Linked DNA regions of Astyanax mexicanus. The protein of the gene in region 1 interacts with the protein of each later gene in a pairwise test. Links are inferred from orthologs where the notes say so. Each region holds a gene or a part of one and is shown in the gene's direction. Other genes may lie near its edges.

The links. The genes of interacting proteins can lie anywhere in the genome.
Region 2: the proteins of pex12 (region 1) and pex10 interact in a two-hybrid assay, tested with the Homo sapiens proteins (4 studies listed by BioGRID, with this or other methods). The link is inferred for Astyanax mexicanus from reciprocal best matches to the Homo sapiens genes PEX12 and PEX10.

The regions. Positions count from the first base shown.
Region 1 is NC_064408.1:29,621,517-29,628,679, reverse strand, and holds the start of pex12 (peroxisome assembly protein 12), read left to right. Parts: upstream 1-4,138; 5' UTR 4,139-4,334; coding exon 4,335-4,466; intron 4,467-7,163. Other genes in the region: ap2b1 (AP-2 complex subunit beta), read right to left, coding at 737-982, 1,549-1,684, 2,228-2,333, 2,476-2,512. UniProt on the Homo sapiens protein: Component of a retrotranslocation channel required for peroxisome organization by mediating export of the PEX5 receptor from peroxisomes to the cytosol, thereby promoting PEX5 recycling.
Region 2 is NC_064419.1:19,024,428-19,032,286, forward strand, and holds the start of pex10 (peroxisome biogenesis factor 10), read left to right. Parts: upstream 1-4,836; 5' UTR 4,837-5,237; coding exon 5,238-5,349; intron 5,350-7,265; coding exon 7,266-7,346; intron 7,347-7,859.

The DNA.
Region 1 (7,163 bases):
TCCTATTAAAGGCAAAGCATCTCACAATTCTGGCTGAAATCTCACACTCCTTAATGTTGAGAATTTTTTTTTCCCCACAAGAGGGAGTCATTAATGCTCAACTCGATTCTGTATGCTTCACTAAAGGGAAACAAACTAGTATAAATGCATACCAGCAGAATTATACATACGCACTTACAATATGATTGTAGTCTCAGGACTATGAAGTAAGGGAACAAAATATATACAATGTGAATACTCAGTTGCAGGGCACATTTAACGTTGGACTGACCAGCCCTTCCTTACCTAATGTCATTGATCAATTCCTGCACTCTACCTCAGGCCATTTAAGGCTATGCTTAATGTGAAACAATGCACTTTTCTAAACGGTACCTTTGGAACTATTAAGGATGATATTTTCTGTAGTGATATAATGGTAAGGATGTATCATCAGTTATTAAGGAAACATGCTGGCTTTAATCACTGGCAGCTCTTGTCAGCAGAGCTTCAGTCAGTATTTTCTTATTGGAACTGTGCACAAAGAAGTCTGCCTACCGCAATTTCCCCAGTCCCATTTCCACACTCTGGGTTGCCAGGTATAGAACACAACAACATGCAAACAGCATGCTGCAGCCATGAAAATGAGAGATCTGGCAAATGTGCCAATCTGGCAACCCACACGATGTTAACTTCAGCTAACCTATACATAAAACATATGAATTTTTACGTTTAGCACACAACGAGCATAATTACGAACCATTGGGTTAGAGTCAGCAATAAGGTCCCTAAGGGAGTCCAAGAAGCCCTGGTCCTCCACCATCTGAGCATTGATGTCATGCAGCTTGGCCACACACACAGCAGCAGTCTTCCTCACATACGGGTCTTCATCCTTCAGACATTTCCTCAGAGGCTCACACAGGTATTCTGTAATCTTATCCACACGAATGCAGCCCATGGTGCGCACAGCCAGGGCTCGAATGAGTGGATTAGGATCCTCACAATCCTGAGGGAAAAGACAGACACACAGTAATGTCACCACAGGACATCTGTAGTGATTAACAAGATTAATTTAAAATAATAGAGATAGGATCTTCTACCTGAATTAAACAATGACATACTCAGAATTTTACACTGTGAATCATGATGACCATACAGATCCTAAAACAATAATTGCAATATTGACCACTTATATATTTAATAGGCTTTAGAGAAACAAATTTGCAATAAAACAGCTCTCATCTACAGCTTATAAAAACAGAGCTGGACTACTTCAGTTTAGTGATGTAAATGTAGCCTAAATGCTTCCAAAAGTTTCTCCAAGCTTTCTCCAAACCAACAGAATACAGTGGAATATTTATGACATTAAATCTCACAGAACATGTTTAACCTAGGGTTATTTCTAAAGAAGAATGCCACTATCATTTTGAAAGATAAAGGAAAAGCTACATGCTCTATGTGTTTATAATGTTTAAAGCAAGTGGTTTAAAGCAATACCTATTGAGAGTTAAGTTGCAAATAGCATAAGCACATTTTAAGCATCTCTTCTTTAATATCAAGAGAAAAACTTGCCTTTACAAAACTGTTGACAGCCATAATGGCCATATCAGGCTGACTCTTGGCATAGTTCATCAGGTATAGATAGACCAGTTTCTTCAGCTCCAAGTTATCAGTCTGCATGCAGTTCACCACATCCGGGAACAAAGAGCTACAGAGAGGAAAGAACGAGGCAGGATAGATTTAAATCAAGATCACCACCATCAGCAATATACAAATCTCCTCATAATCTATTTTAAATAAAGAGACAAACTTAAACAGTCAAATGAAAAAAAAAAACAAAAAAAAAAAACATGCTAGCACTTTGAAACACTTTTACTTGATTATTGACTAGAGTGTTTAATAGTCACAGAATAAGGAATGATAATAATAATAATAATAATAATAATAAAGCATCAACTGCAGTGCAAAATAATAAGTCAAAATGAAAATGAGCTAAAGCTAAGCTAAATTACAGCCTACACAGTGTGGGATTCATTTAAACATTTTTCTAACAAATAATCCCCAAGAAAAAAAAGAAATTAATTTCGTTCTCCTTACAGAATCATTATAAATAAATTACAACTGCGATGTCTGTGGCCCAAACAATTAAAAAACATATAAAGCAAATAGCTCACAGAACACGTGACATTATTGCCCTGAAAATGATCCTTGCCCTGCATTTAAATAACAGTGTCCAATAAACCCATCATACCTGACATCCTTGCCCACGGTCATGGCAGCGATGACTTTTTTCACCGCTTCCTTCCTCTTCTCCTTCTTCTCATTGTTTAACTCAGCTTTCAGTTCAAATATCTCTCCTATAGAAAATAATAATTGTAGGGTAAGGTTAATAAAACATAAAGCACTGACCAGATAAAACTACCATGCCAGGTGTGAGTGAGGTTTAATTCAGATTTATTAATGAGAAAAAATAAATGTCAATCAAAGTTAAAACCTTACCTTTTTTGTTTGTAGTGAAATACTTTGAGTCTGTCATTTTGATTGGTGTTCAAGTTCACTTCAGAGAAAAGCACACATTAAAATAATACAAATAAATATGTAACCACAAATAGGAGTCTCAATTTATGTTGTGAAAGTTTTTTTTTTATAATGCAAAAAAATAGCCGTTTGGCAAAAAAGAATGATAGATTTAACATAAATCTAGCTAAGGTTACACCCATAGCCAAATTATCTCGCTACCTACCCTATTGTATATGTTTTATAGGACATTTACTGAAATCTCTTTCAAACCCTGTAACTTATTTAACACTTACAAAGGACATAAGCTCTAATATTGTAGTAGTTGTATGTGTTGTACGATTTAAACGAGCTTTGTTGTTTTATTCTATAAACTACAAACAACATTTCTCCTAAATTCCAAATGTAAATATTGTCATTTATTTGCAGAAAATGAGAAATGGCTAAAATACCAAAAAAGACGCAGACCTCTTAGACCTCAAATAATGCAAGGAGAACAAGCTCATTTACATATTTTTAAGAGTTCAGAAATAAATATCTGGTGGAATTACGCTGGATTTTAATCACAGTTTTCATGCATCTTGGCATGTTCTCCTCCACCAGTCTTACACACTGATTTTGGATAACTTTATGCCACTCCTGGTGCAAAAATTTAAGCAGTTCAGTTTGGTTTGATGTCTTGTGACTATTCATCTTCCTCTTGATTATAATTCAGAGGTTTTCAATTTGGTAGAATCAAAGAAACACATAATTTTTAAGTGGTCTCTTATTTATGTTCCAGACCTGTAAGAATATATGTGTGTATAGTTATGCGTGTATATCTATGCATTAAAAAAATTTGATGGTGTAATGATATGTAAACTCTTCAATAATTATCATTAATCCAAAGGATTTGTAAATAAGTTTCTTAAAAAAAAAACCCTTAAATAAATTAAGAAAATATATAAGTAGTTTACTATATATTTGGCTATGGGTGTAATGTTAGCCAGGTAGGAAGGTTAATATAGTCATGGTGAATTTAAAAAGAGATATATGTTCAGTATAAAGCTTATTCTGCTGGAAAACAAATGAAAGAAACGTCTAATATGTCTTAATAACTTTATCTAATCAGAATGAACATCCGAAACACAGCAGGCCGGCCAGGAATCCGTTCATATCCGTTCAGCTCCATTCTCAGACAGAACACTGTTTATTTATTTACCCATAGACAGAAAACACAGTATATTCAGTGTAAATAATGTATTTAAGCTCGATATTTGAGGCTCCCATAGCAATTACCCCTGGGTGTGACCGTTTAACGTTAGGTTATCTGGGCTAGGCTAACTAGCTAGGTAGCTTGCTAAGCTAACCTATCGCTAGCTATCATCTACGAAAAATGAACGACATTCGTTAAATCGGCCTTTTAACTCGCCTCGCCAGCAAATAAACAGACTGTCCAAAACAGCAACAATAAAAGCCCCTACCTCGGAAACAGGAGCGGAGAGGATTTTAAAGGGTATCCGGGTGTAAACGGAGCTGGAGTGAACCGCTGCTGCTGCTGGCCGCTTTCACTGCCACAGCTGTAGACGGAGGGGGGAAGAAGATGGAGCGGCCGGAACGGAAAGTTGGGAGCTCTTGGAAAAACACGGAACAGCCATGTTGTTGCACCGCCGAGGTGCAGAGAATGGCATGCGTTAAACAGTGTTTACACTGTACTTTGGCCACTATGGCGCCCGGTTCTGGTTGTTTTGAGCGCAGAGTGGGTTATAGACACCGCTGTTCGCTTCCTAACTGAAGTATTCTCTGATTTACAGTCTAATTTTGAAGTTTAAGTAGGTTATCTATCTGTAAACTCGCTCAGAATGGCGGAGAGAGGAGCACATCTGACCACAGCAGCAGCAGCAGCAGTGGAAGACAGGCCGAGTATTTTTGAGGTTTTAGCTCAGGACTCGTTGATGGGTGCTGTCAAACCCGCACTGCAGCACGCCGTGAAGGTAAGCCCGCAAAACAACTGAATACTGAGGACTGCGTGTTGTGATCCTGGCGATACGATACTTGAAGGGGTTACGATTCGGTATATAGCAATAGATTGTGATACTATAAACAATTCCGTATATAACATCGACATCAACAATTTTAACTCTCATAGTATGAAAGCATAATTATAGTTAGAGAACATTGCACCACTTTTGCGTAAGTTCCTTCTTAAGTTTGTGTGTAAAGTCTCTACTAAGTCCTTAATAACTACTAGTTAGTTTCAAACTATCCCTCTGGTTACACCACAAATCCATATTATTATGTACAATAACGATTATCATCACAACCATAACAGGTTGATTTATTGTTTTGTATTCAATACTGTTTTTCTTAAATATTTAATCTCAAAATATTGCAATATTATACAAATCAATTTTTACATTATAAATTTAATATTGAAATCATTAAAGCTGTACATGAATATGATTGTTAAACAGACCAGAATATGTTTCATATTTTAGATTCCTCCATGTTTAGCTTTAAGGACAGATCTGCACAATTGGTATTTTTCAGTGTCTTTATGAGGTAGAGTCACCTGGTATAGTTTTCTTAGCGTCTTAAAGGAGTTCCTGAAGGTGCTAAATAGTAGTTGCTGTTTTTCCTTTGCACTAAGCTCCAATTCCATATATGTGCCTTAATTGTTTTTATGTGTTTGTTATTAATCTACAATTAAATAAAGAAAAACATTTTATGAGGTGAAAGGTTTGTCCAAATATGCCTGGTACTGTAGTTATAGCTTTGTATTGGATGCAGTGATTTTTTTTTTATTACTTTTTTCACTTTTTCACTTCCAATACTGAGGCAGAAGTTAACTTAAAAGTTGATACCCCATACCGATCTGATATCATTAGTCGAGAGACTTTCTTAATTGACTTAAACATTTACTAACCTTGCAAAATCAAATATAGTTTAACATATTGGGCCTCGGTACAGCTTTTAAATTCAATATTAAAGAGCCTCTAAACCATATTGTTTCTATTAATATATGTTACTTTAAAGTAATGAAACTAGGGCTGTCCCTAACGATTATTTTTTAAACGATTATTCTAACGATTATTTTTTTCGATTAGTCGACTAATCTATTCATTGAGAAACATATTTAAATAATTATTTTACGTTTTAAAGCAAACGATAAATTACTATATTTATATATAATAACAACAACAACAACAACAACACAAGCCTACTAAACCAAACCCCACACTTATAATCACTTACATGTACAGCACGTTGTTTAGATCTATAACGCTAAAAATGGATAAGCTCCCATACACCACAACCGTGTGTTGCACTGTTTTCTGTGACCGCTAGATTTTGTGACCACTGGCAAGTAGTTCTCAGCAGACCGGTGCACTGGCCGATTCGAAACGTGTTCGTTTCTAATGTTTACCCCGACTGGCCAAAACGGTTCAGTTTAGGGCTGAGGGTAAGGTGTAGGTATAGAAAGCTTCCGTTTTGCCAATGAACGCTCATAACCGTGAGCACTGGTCACAAAATTCCGACGGTGACAGAAAACGGTGTGACACCGCAGCGCCGACGGCGCTAGCTAAAATAACTTAAGGCAGCTAGCTTAGCTAAACACCTGAACTTATGAATAATGCTACTGTTTCTGGAAACTGCGAAATGCCATGCACAAATATAAACCAAAAATGTATAATTTCTGCCTGTGGCAGGTTTAAAACCTTTGGTAGACAGCCTTAAGTCTTTTTAAGGACACCCGCGGAGACCCTGATGTAAACGGTAACTTACTGTGTGACCCTGTTGACATAGTGCTCCTGGATGTTTGCGCTTCAAGTGCTCCTTTTGCACGTATGGCAGAGGACCACATTGTTGCCCTTTTGCGTGAAATGCTCCCAAACTTTAGATGCCCGCTGGCGTTTTTTTGTAGCTGGAGATTGCTCTCCGGAGTCCAAGCTCCCTAGAGCTTAGATTCTCTGCCCGAACCCGACATGACCCGAGGCCCGCCCGTAAATCCGACCCGGGCTCCAGAAAATAGTCCGAGATGTAGGCGTCTGTTTTTTAATTATATTTTTATTTAAAAAAAAATAACGAAAACTGAAAGTGAAACTAAACTAATTTATTTATAAGCGCTGTTTTCACTACCGCAGTTCTACAGCGGGGGTGTTGTGCCGATTCTGTCCGCGAAGCGGGAGTCAGATTCAGCAGAGAGTCGGATTCGGCACAAACGCGGCGGCACCTCGCGGTCCGCGGTGTCAGTTGTAAGCGCTCGCGCTAGCCGCAAAATACGGCAGAAAACACTGAGGGAGCTGCAGAATTATGAATGGGACTAGAATATGAGCACGAGGAGATCAAAGAGAACCTTCACCTGTGAGTAGAACAAGCAAATCTCTCTCTCTCTCTCTCTCTCTCGCACGTGAACTCCTCCGCGTTTGACTTGCAGAACTGTGTTTAGCTGTTCTTAAAAATCATTTTAATTAAATAATAGTTCTATGCTTCTATGTTACCGTGTTAATTAACATAATTCTGATCATATTTCGCTCATTAAAACAGCCCGAAAACAGCCAGTTGGAATTTTTGGGCCCGATCTAACCTCTAATGCTCTCCACAGGCGCCGCCATGTTTACGACGCGCCGACGCACGTTATGCAAATCGATGTATTTTTGTAATCGATGACGTCGATTATGTCGATGCGT
Region 2 (7,859 bases), on another chromosome or scaffold:
TTTGTTTCCTGTGCTCCTTATTTCGTGTTTTTCCCTGTTTATCTCCAGTTTATGTTTCTAGTCCCTTGTTTATTTCCGTTAACTCCTTGTATTTAACCCTGCTTTGTGTTTATTAGTTTATTCCCTTGTATTTATTTCCCTGCCCTGTTTGGTTTGTTTATTTTTATTATATTCTCTAGTTTGTTTGTTTTAGTTCTCTGGTTCCTCTCGTTTGTTTTCTGGTTATTTTCAGACATTTCGTTTATTCCCTAGTTCATTGTATATATCTCCCTGTTCCGTGTTTTAGTGTTTACTTGTTTCTTGTTTCTTTGTTACTTGTTATTTATTTATTAAATTATTATTTATTGATTTCACCCTACCTGCACTTGTGTCCGCCTCCTCGTCTCCCTGCCTGGGTTTTCCTGACACACTGATTTAATTTAAAAGAAAAAATCTTAACTACTGCTGCTTGAAAGTAAGTGAACACTGTATATTTGTAATAATGTACATGTACAAAAATATATTTCTTGAACGTAAATGAAAACTGTATATTTGTATTATGTACAAAAATGTATTTTTACACAGTGTTTGTATGCAATTTAAAACGCATGATATTATGCATTTGTAACGACACGAGTGAATGACATAAACTGTTTTCATAAGTTTAAGCCTAACACTTTAGAACACTTAAAAACGCAATTATAACACTATTATAACACTTAAATATTTATGAATAACTTAAGTACTTGCAGCTTGACAAGATTTTATAAAATGGTCAGGACACTTCTAAGAGAGACCAAGACTCTCTGTGGTTTAAGATGGTTTAAGACATTGTTTAAATATGTATATAGTGTTGAACTATGTTTAAGCAAAAGTTAATATACATGTAAATATAAGGTAACACTTTAAAAAAGTACATTTATTTAATAATGTCTTAACTAGTGACAATTAGTAATTAGTTGGGAAATTACTCAACCATGTAAGAATGTTTATAACTGTCTTAGTACTGTTAATTCTGACCCTTATCATAAAATGTTACCAGGTGTGTTGCGATATTCAACATGTATGCATATTATGTAAAAAAAAAAAAACAATCTCTTCTTTCATGAACTGTCATAACCTTTTGAAAAATTCACACGGTTCTCATTTCTCACATTATATATCTACTAGAGACAGATTATATCTGTCCAGTATAATTTATTTTACTTTAATTCTGGATATATGGAGATTTATGAAGTGCATTATTAGTATCATGATATTCTGGATCATTGACTTCTGTTACAAATCTGATACAACTATTGTATTTTTAATATCTCAGTTAGAGATGTGACATATCATATCATATGCAATAATACGCAATATGCAAAAATTTTTATCTGGTCATATTGCCAAGTGTATCGTTATCGCAGAAATACCATGAAATATCGTGATATTGTTTTAGGGCCACATCGCCCACCCCTATCATTCAAATCTTTAGCATCATATGTCAATCTTTTTAGACTAATTTTAGCCAGAATAGGAAGCTACAGAAAATGAATGGACACTTTGCACAAAGACAGAATTTATTTTTTATACTTATATTTTTATTTAGACATTGTTTAAATATGTATATAGTGTTGAACTATGTTTAAGCAAAAGTTAATATACATGTAAATATAAGGTAACACTTTAAAAAAGTACATTTATTTAATAATGTCTTAACTAGTGACAATTAGTAATTAGTTGGGAAATTACTCAACCATGTAAGAATGTTTATAACTGTCTTAGTACTGTTAATTCTGACCCTTATCATAAAATGTTACCAGGTGTGTTGCGATATTCAACATGTATGCATATTATGTAAAAAAAAAAAAAAACAATCTCTTCTTTCATGAACTGTCATAACCTTTTGAAAAATTCACACGGTTCTCATTTCTCACATTATATATCTACTAGAGACAGATTATATCTGTCCAGTATAATTTATTTTACTTTAATTCTGGATATATGGAGATTTATGAAGTGCATTATTAGTATCATGATATTCTGGATCATTGACTTCTGTTACAAATCTGATACAACTATTGTATTTTTAATATCTCAGTTAGAGATGTGACATATCATATCATATGCAATAATACGCAATATGCAAAAATTTTTATCTGGTCATATTGCCAAGTGTATCGTTATCGCAGAAATACCATGAAATATCGTGATATTGTTTTAGGGCCACATCGCCCACCCCTATCATTCAAATCTTTAGCATCATATGTCAATCTTTTTAGACTAATTTTAGCAAGAATAGGAAGCTACAGAAAATGAATGGACACTTTGCACAAAGACAGAATTTATTTTTTATACTTGTTAGGTTCTACTAATCCCAAAAAGCTTTGAAAATTAAAAAATGCACACCAAGCAAAAGTCTGGATGTCAGGAAGATAAACATATTTGAGAGTCTGTTGCAATGTTCAGTAGGAAGAAACTGCTAAATCAGTTCCACTGACTCATTCTGAGTAAATATACACATTAGTTCAGACTGCTTAACCTAATAAACCTCAGTGAATTCTGAAGATCTGATGTTTCTCAGCCACAAGAACGTAACCACTCACATTCATGCTTTATTCAAATGCCTAAACTCACTATTTCCACAAAACATCAACATAAACAACATGAACAACATGAAAGACAAACACAAAAAGAAATAATTTACTGTACCTCAGTGAGGATCAAGCTTTGCCTGCTATTTCCAAGTGGATTCTTAAGCCACTACTCCCCTCATCTGCCCTGTACACCACCTAACTCCAGCCTGCAAGAAGTCACATGTATCTCTGAGACTGAGGAAAAGGACTGCCCCTCCTCAAGTGTAAACACTGTCCACACTTCCTTCACCGCCATAAGGAGTAAATAGACTCCGGCAAGTCTTTAATCAAACACGGCCTGCCCCCGAACATGAAAAATCTGGTGACCAGTCTTAAGTATGATTTTCTTTTTTTCTTTTTTTTTCTGGACCAACTAGAGCATGAAAGAGCCTTTCTTTCACCACTTTTTTTTCTTTACTGTTGGACTTTAATAGAGTTGCTTGATGTTGGAGCACCAAAGGAACAAAGAAACAGGTTCTGCAGGATAGGATTTGAGGCCACACATGGACTCGAGGGGGAAAGTGATGTAACCTTTTGTGCACCGAGAGAAAAGAAAGAGAGAACATTAGAAGTGTTAGAACAAATAAACGGAAAGATAAACAGCGCAAAAGTTAGCGCACTCACTCACGATATGTCATCATTTCTATCACCTCAGATCATGAAGGCGTGAAGGCAAATACTAATAAGCTAATAATACAGCACAAGCTTTGTGCTTCAGCACTGAAAATAACTTTTCCATTAAAACAAAATAATGTGATGTAAACGTTTGAATGTGGGTATATTTAGAAAACTGATTATATTAACAGCAAAAAATTAATAATAATAATACTTTCAAAATATTAACCTGGATTAATATAAATATGTACTTTTTTCTACCAATTAAATAAATAAATGCAAAAAAGTATGAAAAAAAAACAGAAAGAAAACAAAACCACAGAGTGCCTGTGTAAACTGAACCAGCCCATGCTACCTCCAGGGTTGCCAGGTATATTGTATTTTCATTTTTTTTATTACTTTTTCTTGGTACAAATATAACAGTATAGGCCAGCTATTCAAACTGATAATTTATATATAAGGAGATATAAGATTGTTATATTTATTAAGTTGTATATCTAAGTCAGTAACCAAGTAAATGTAATTTGTTACTGTACTGTGAATTATTATGAAATTTAAAACTGTAATTTTTTACTTTAACTACAGTACAATTTAAAGTACATATGGAGTGTGCTTATATGAAATATGTATTTCAATATTTTTGGTGTTCGTCTGCATAGAAATGCAGTGTAACAACAAAAAATCAAGCTGAAATAAATAAATAATTCACATATACACACATACATAATATGCAGAATATATAGAGGAAAAATAGTGAAGGAAATACATTGGTAAACCTTGTGTTAAAGGCAAGTTTTTATTAAACTAAGTTACATATTAACCAAAAGTTATTTTGCTTTAGCCTACCAAATTTGTTTTACCTATAGTTTTTTATTTTTTATTTTTCAATTAATGATGTTCTAATAAAGATGATGAAACAATAATGGGTAGCGCTTTAAATATATTTTAAATAAAAAAATGTATGGTTTATAAATAGTTATTAATTAAGTAGTAATTTAGATCATTTAAAAATCTGCTTGTTGAGCACCTCAGAGAGTACACAGCAGATAAGCCAGCAGACTTTGTCTGAGGGAGGAATCTATACCTAATGTCTGTGGCAAGTCAGCAGGTGAGGGGGATGTAAGTACTTTCAAATAATTAATTTTGTTCTTCTATCACAGTTAAGAATGAACTAGCTTGTTCGTGTTTTGCCATTTAGCACAAGCTAACATTAACATGTGGTAAACCCTCTGTGTAAATATGGAGCATGTCCAGCAAAGGCTTATTTGCAAAAAGTGACAGAGTCCTTAAACAGTTCTGAAACTTCTGAAATGGTGAATCTGGTGAGATCTTTTTATGTGAGAGTGATTTTGTGCAAAGAACTTAATGAGCATGTTTTGTACAGCAAATAGAACTATTTTAACTTGTTTAAAAGTAGATATTATATGCCCCCTTTAAAATATCTTCAACCTAATTAATAACCATTTATAAACACTTTATAAATATGCTTTATATTAAAGCAATCACATTTATTTACAATGAGTGAAGTAAGACTTAAATCAAGCACAAATCACTGATTTATTGGCTTCAATTCGTACTAGTATGTTACCCTGTGTATCTCTACTCTATTCTTAACCTTAACCACAGTGACGGAGTGAAAACCCCAAATCTGGCAACTCTGACTCCCTCCCGCCTGCTCCACGGAAGCGCTGTTTGCAGACAGCCGACCAATGGCGAGCTCTCCTCTTCACACGTGATTAAGACGGAAGTAAAATAGGCTGCAGGACTCGGTTTGTGTGTTTTCAACATGAAGATGGACGGACTTTTAGTTGCAGTCACTGATTTATATATTATGATAAGCTTTTATTTAGTGTGTGTTTAATTCTCTTACTCCGCTGCTGCTGCTGTCAGACCCAGCTAAAGCTGCTGCAGTCACACACAGAGAGGAGCAAACCAGCTGCTTATGGCGGAACACCCGGTCAGAGTCCAGCTCACATTTATTTATATATTTATTTAATTCATTAGTTTATTAAATCTCCGGCAGTAATGCCACTTATACCCGCCAACCAGCCTCAGCTCATCCGCTCCTCCCAGAAGGACGAGTACTACCAGAGCAGCCTCAGAAACAACACCAGCGAAGCTTTCCAGACCCTCGCCGGTGAGTCTCTCTCACTGTTTACCTAAACCACACACAGCACGTGTTTTTCTCAACACTGGTTCAGTTACTTTCTAGACATTGTTGCTACTACAGCTCTGGAAAATAATAAGAGACCACTTCTGTTTCTCTAGTTTTGCTATGTTTAGGTTTATGTTTGAGTACAATGAACATTGTTGTTTTATTCTATAAACTACGGACATTTGTTCCAAATAAAAATATTGCCATTTAGAGCATTTATTTGCAGAAAATGAGAAATGGCTGAAAAAACAAAAAAAGATGCAGAACTTTCAGACCTCAAATAATGCAAAGAAAATAAGTTAATTTTCATAAAGTTTTCAAGAGTTCAGCTAGAGTTCAGAAATCAATATTTGGTGGAATAACCCTTGTTTTTAATCACATTTTTCATCACATGCATCTTGGCATGTTCTCCTCCACCAGTCTTACACACTGCTTTTGGATAACTTTATGCCACTCCTGGTGCAAAAATTCAAGCAGTTCAGTTTGGTTTGAGGGCTTGTGGTCATCCATCTTCCTCTTGATTATATTCCAGAGGTTTTTAATTTGGTCAAATCAAAGAAACTCAGCATTTTAAGTGGTCTCTTTTATTTTTTTCCAGAGCTGTATATTTATTTGAATCAATTAATATATGAAAAATATATCTCTCTCTGATCGTAAATATTTCCCAATGCAGCAGAATTTTCCTAATGCACAGTTCTATATTACATAAATTCCTGTGTAAATATCTTGGTAAAAGTGTTAGTTGGTTTTGTGGAGTGGAGTCTGCAGGGTAGCGAAGTAAAGCAAAACAACTGGAAAAGATGAAAAGGGGAAATGTGTCGCAAGGCACAGCAGGAAAACAGACCTTCTGTAACTTTTCTGGACTTTTTTTTGAGATGCCAGGCTTTTTGTCTGATTTGAATAGCATCTGCTAGATAGATAGGGTTTGCCTAGGTTTGGCCGATATTTCAAGTGACGCTTGCTGACATATTTATTGTACTCTGGAAAAGGGCCAAGTAATGCTGGCCACACTGCTACAGTTGGCAAGCACTGGCCGCACTAATTTAGCATTTTTTTTTCATTACTTTTAGTTAATCGAATGTTTTATTTTACCTGTTGATTTACAAAAGAGGGTTTAAAACTGTGATCAGGGGCTCCGAGTGGTCCACTCGAGAGAGAGAGCACAATAGGCCTTGTTCTCTCTGAGTGAGTAGATGGCTCTAATTTCAGGAGATGCATTTTGTCATTTTGTTTGCATACAGTTGGTTGAAAGCTGAAATGTAAGGCAAATAAATGTTACAAGTCTAACGGCTGCCTACCTTCTCTTTAGGTTAAAAATATGAATATTGGTACCGACAGATATGTGCATGTGTAATATCAGATATTCACGTCAGCTCAGAATTCCCTCATCTGTGAATCACTGATAAATAGATATAGTAAGAGAGAGAGAGAGACAGAGAGATGAAGATATACCTTCTTAATCCTGAGAAAAAATTAGGTCATCCAGTAGCTTAAAATAACACAATTAAATACATGCAGTCACAGAACACACATGAAAGGATCGATCATGTGTGTTATTAAAAAAGGTCCTAAAAAAACATAGGTAGAAAGATCTGTTAATTTAGCCTTGTATTTTTATTAGCAGTCATAGAGATTGTACCAAGATGGTATGTCAGCCAATAAATATTCTATAGAGTAAAAGTACTACATAAAAAAATGACATTGGAAATAGGATGAAGTGACCTGGTGTGCCTATATACATATGGTTGCCTGAAAAACTATTCTTTTGGTTTTGATGCATTACAATGAATATGTTTGTGTGGTGTACCACATAGGGATGCTTCACATACTATTAGTGGTGAACGTACCACAGTTTGAGAACCACTGCCTTAGTTTATTGGTGTTTCCACTTTAATCAGGTTCCAAACGATGGCTACAGTGGAGAAAGGAGCTGGAATTGCTGTCAGATCTCACCTACTACGCACTTACTACTCTCTCAGGTAGGTGCAATTTGTTGATATGTAACAGGGTAATTGTAATAAAAAATTGTGTTGGTGCAAGAGTACTCAGGGTTAGTAGTGGTGTTGAGGGGTTTTTTTCACTCCTATTAAATTGGACCACCAAATTTGACATATTCTTTTCACCTAAATTCGAATCACCCATTTTTTGTATGCTCTTCACTGGTGTCATTAGGTAGGCACCACCCATTGTCAGTGTTTTGTTCAATTAAGCCCACAATAAATCCTCCCTCCCTCTCCTCAAGCTCACTTTACACCCATCACTTAACCAATTCTGTACCTGTAGTACCACACTGGCTTCCCTGGTGGCTAAAGTGCCACCAGTTCCATGTGTCCATGTGTAGAACAACGCTGCCGAGCAAGCACGCTTGCTAGATAACACTAGCCAGTTAGCACAACAAGCTACTGCATTGGTAGCTCAGCTCTGTGGAGAAAGAAGGGAATTGTGGCTGATTTTAATACTGTAACGCCTCTAATAGCTTGAACTATTAATTA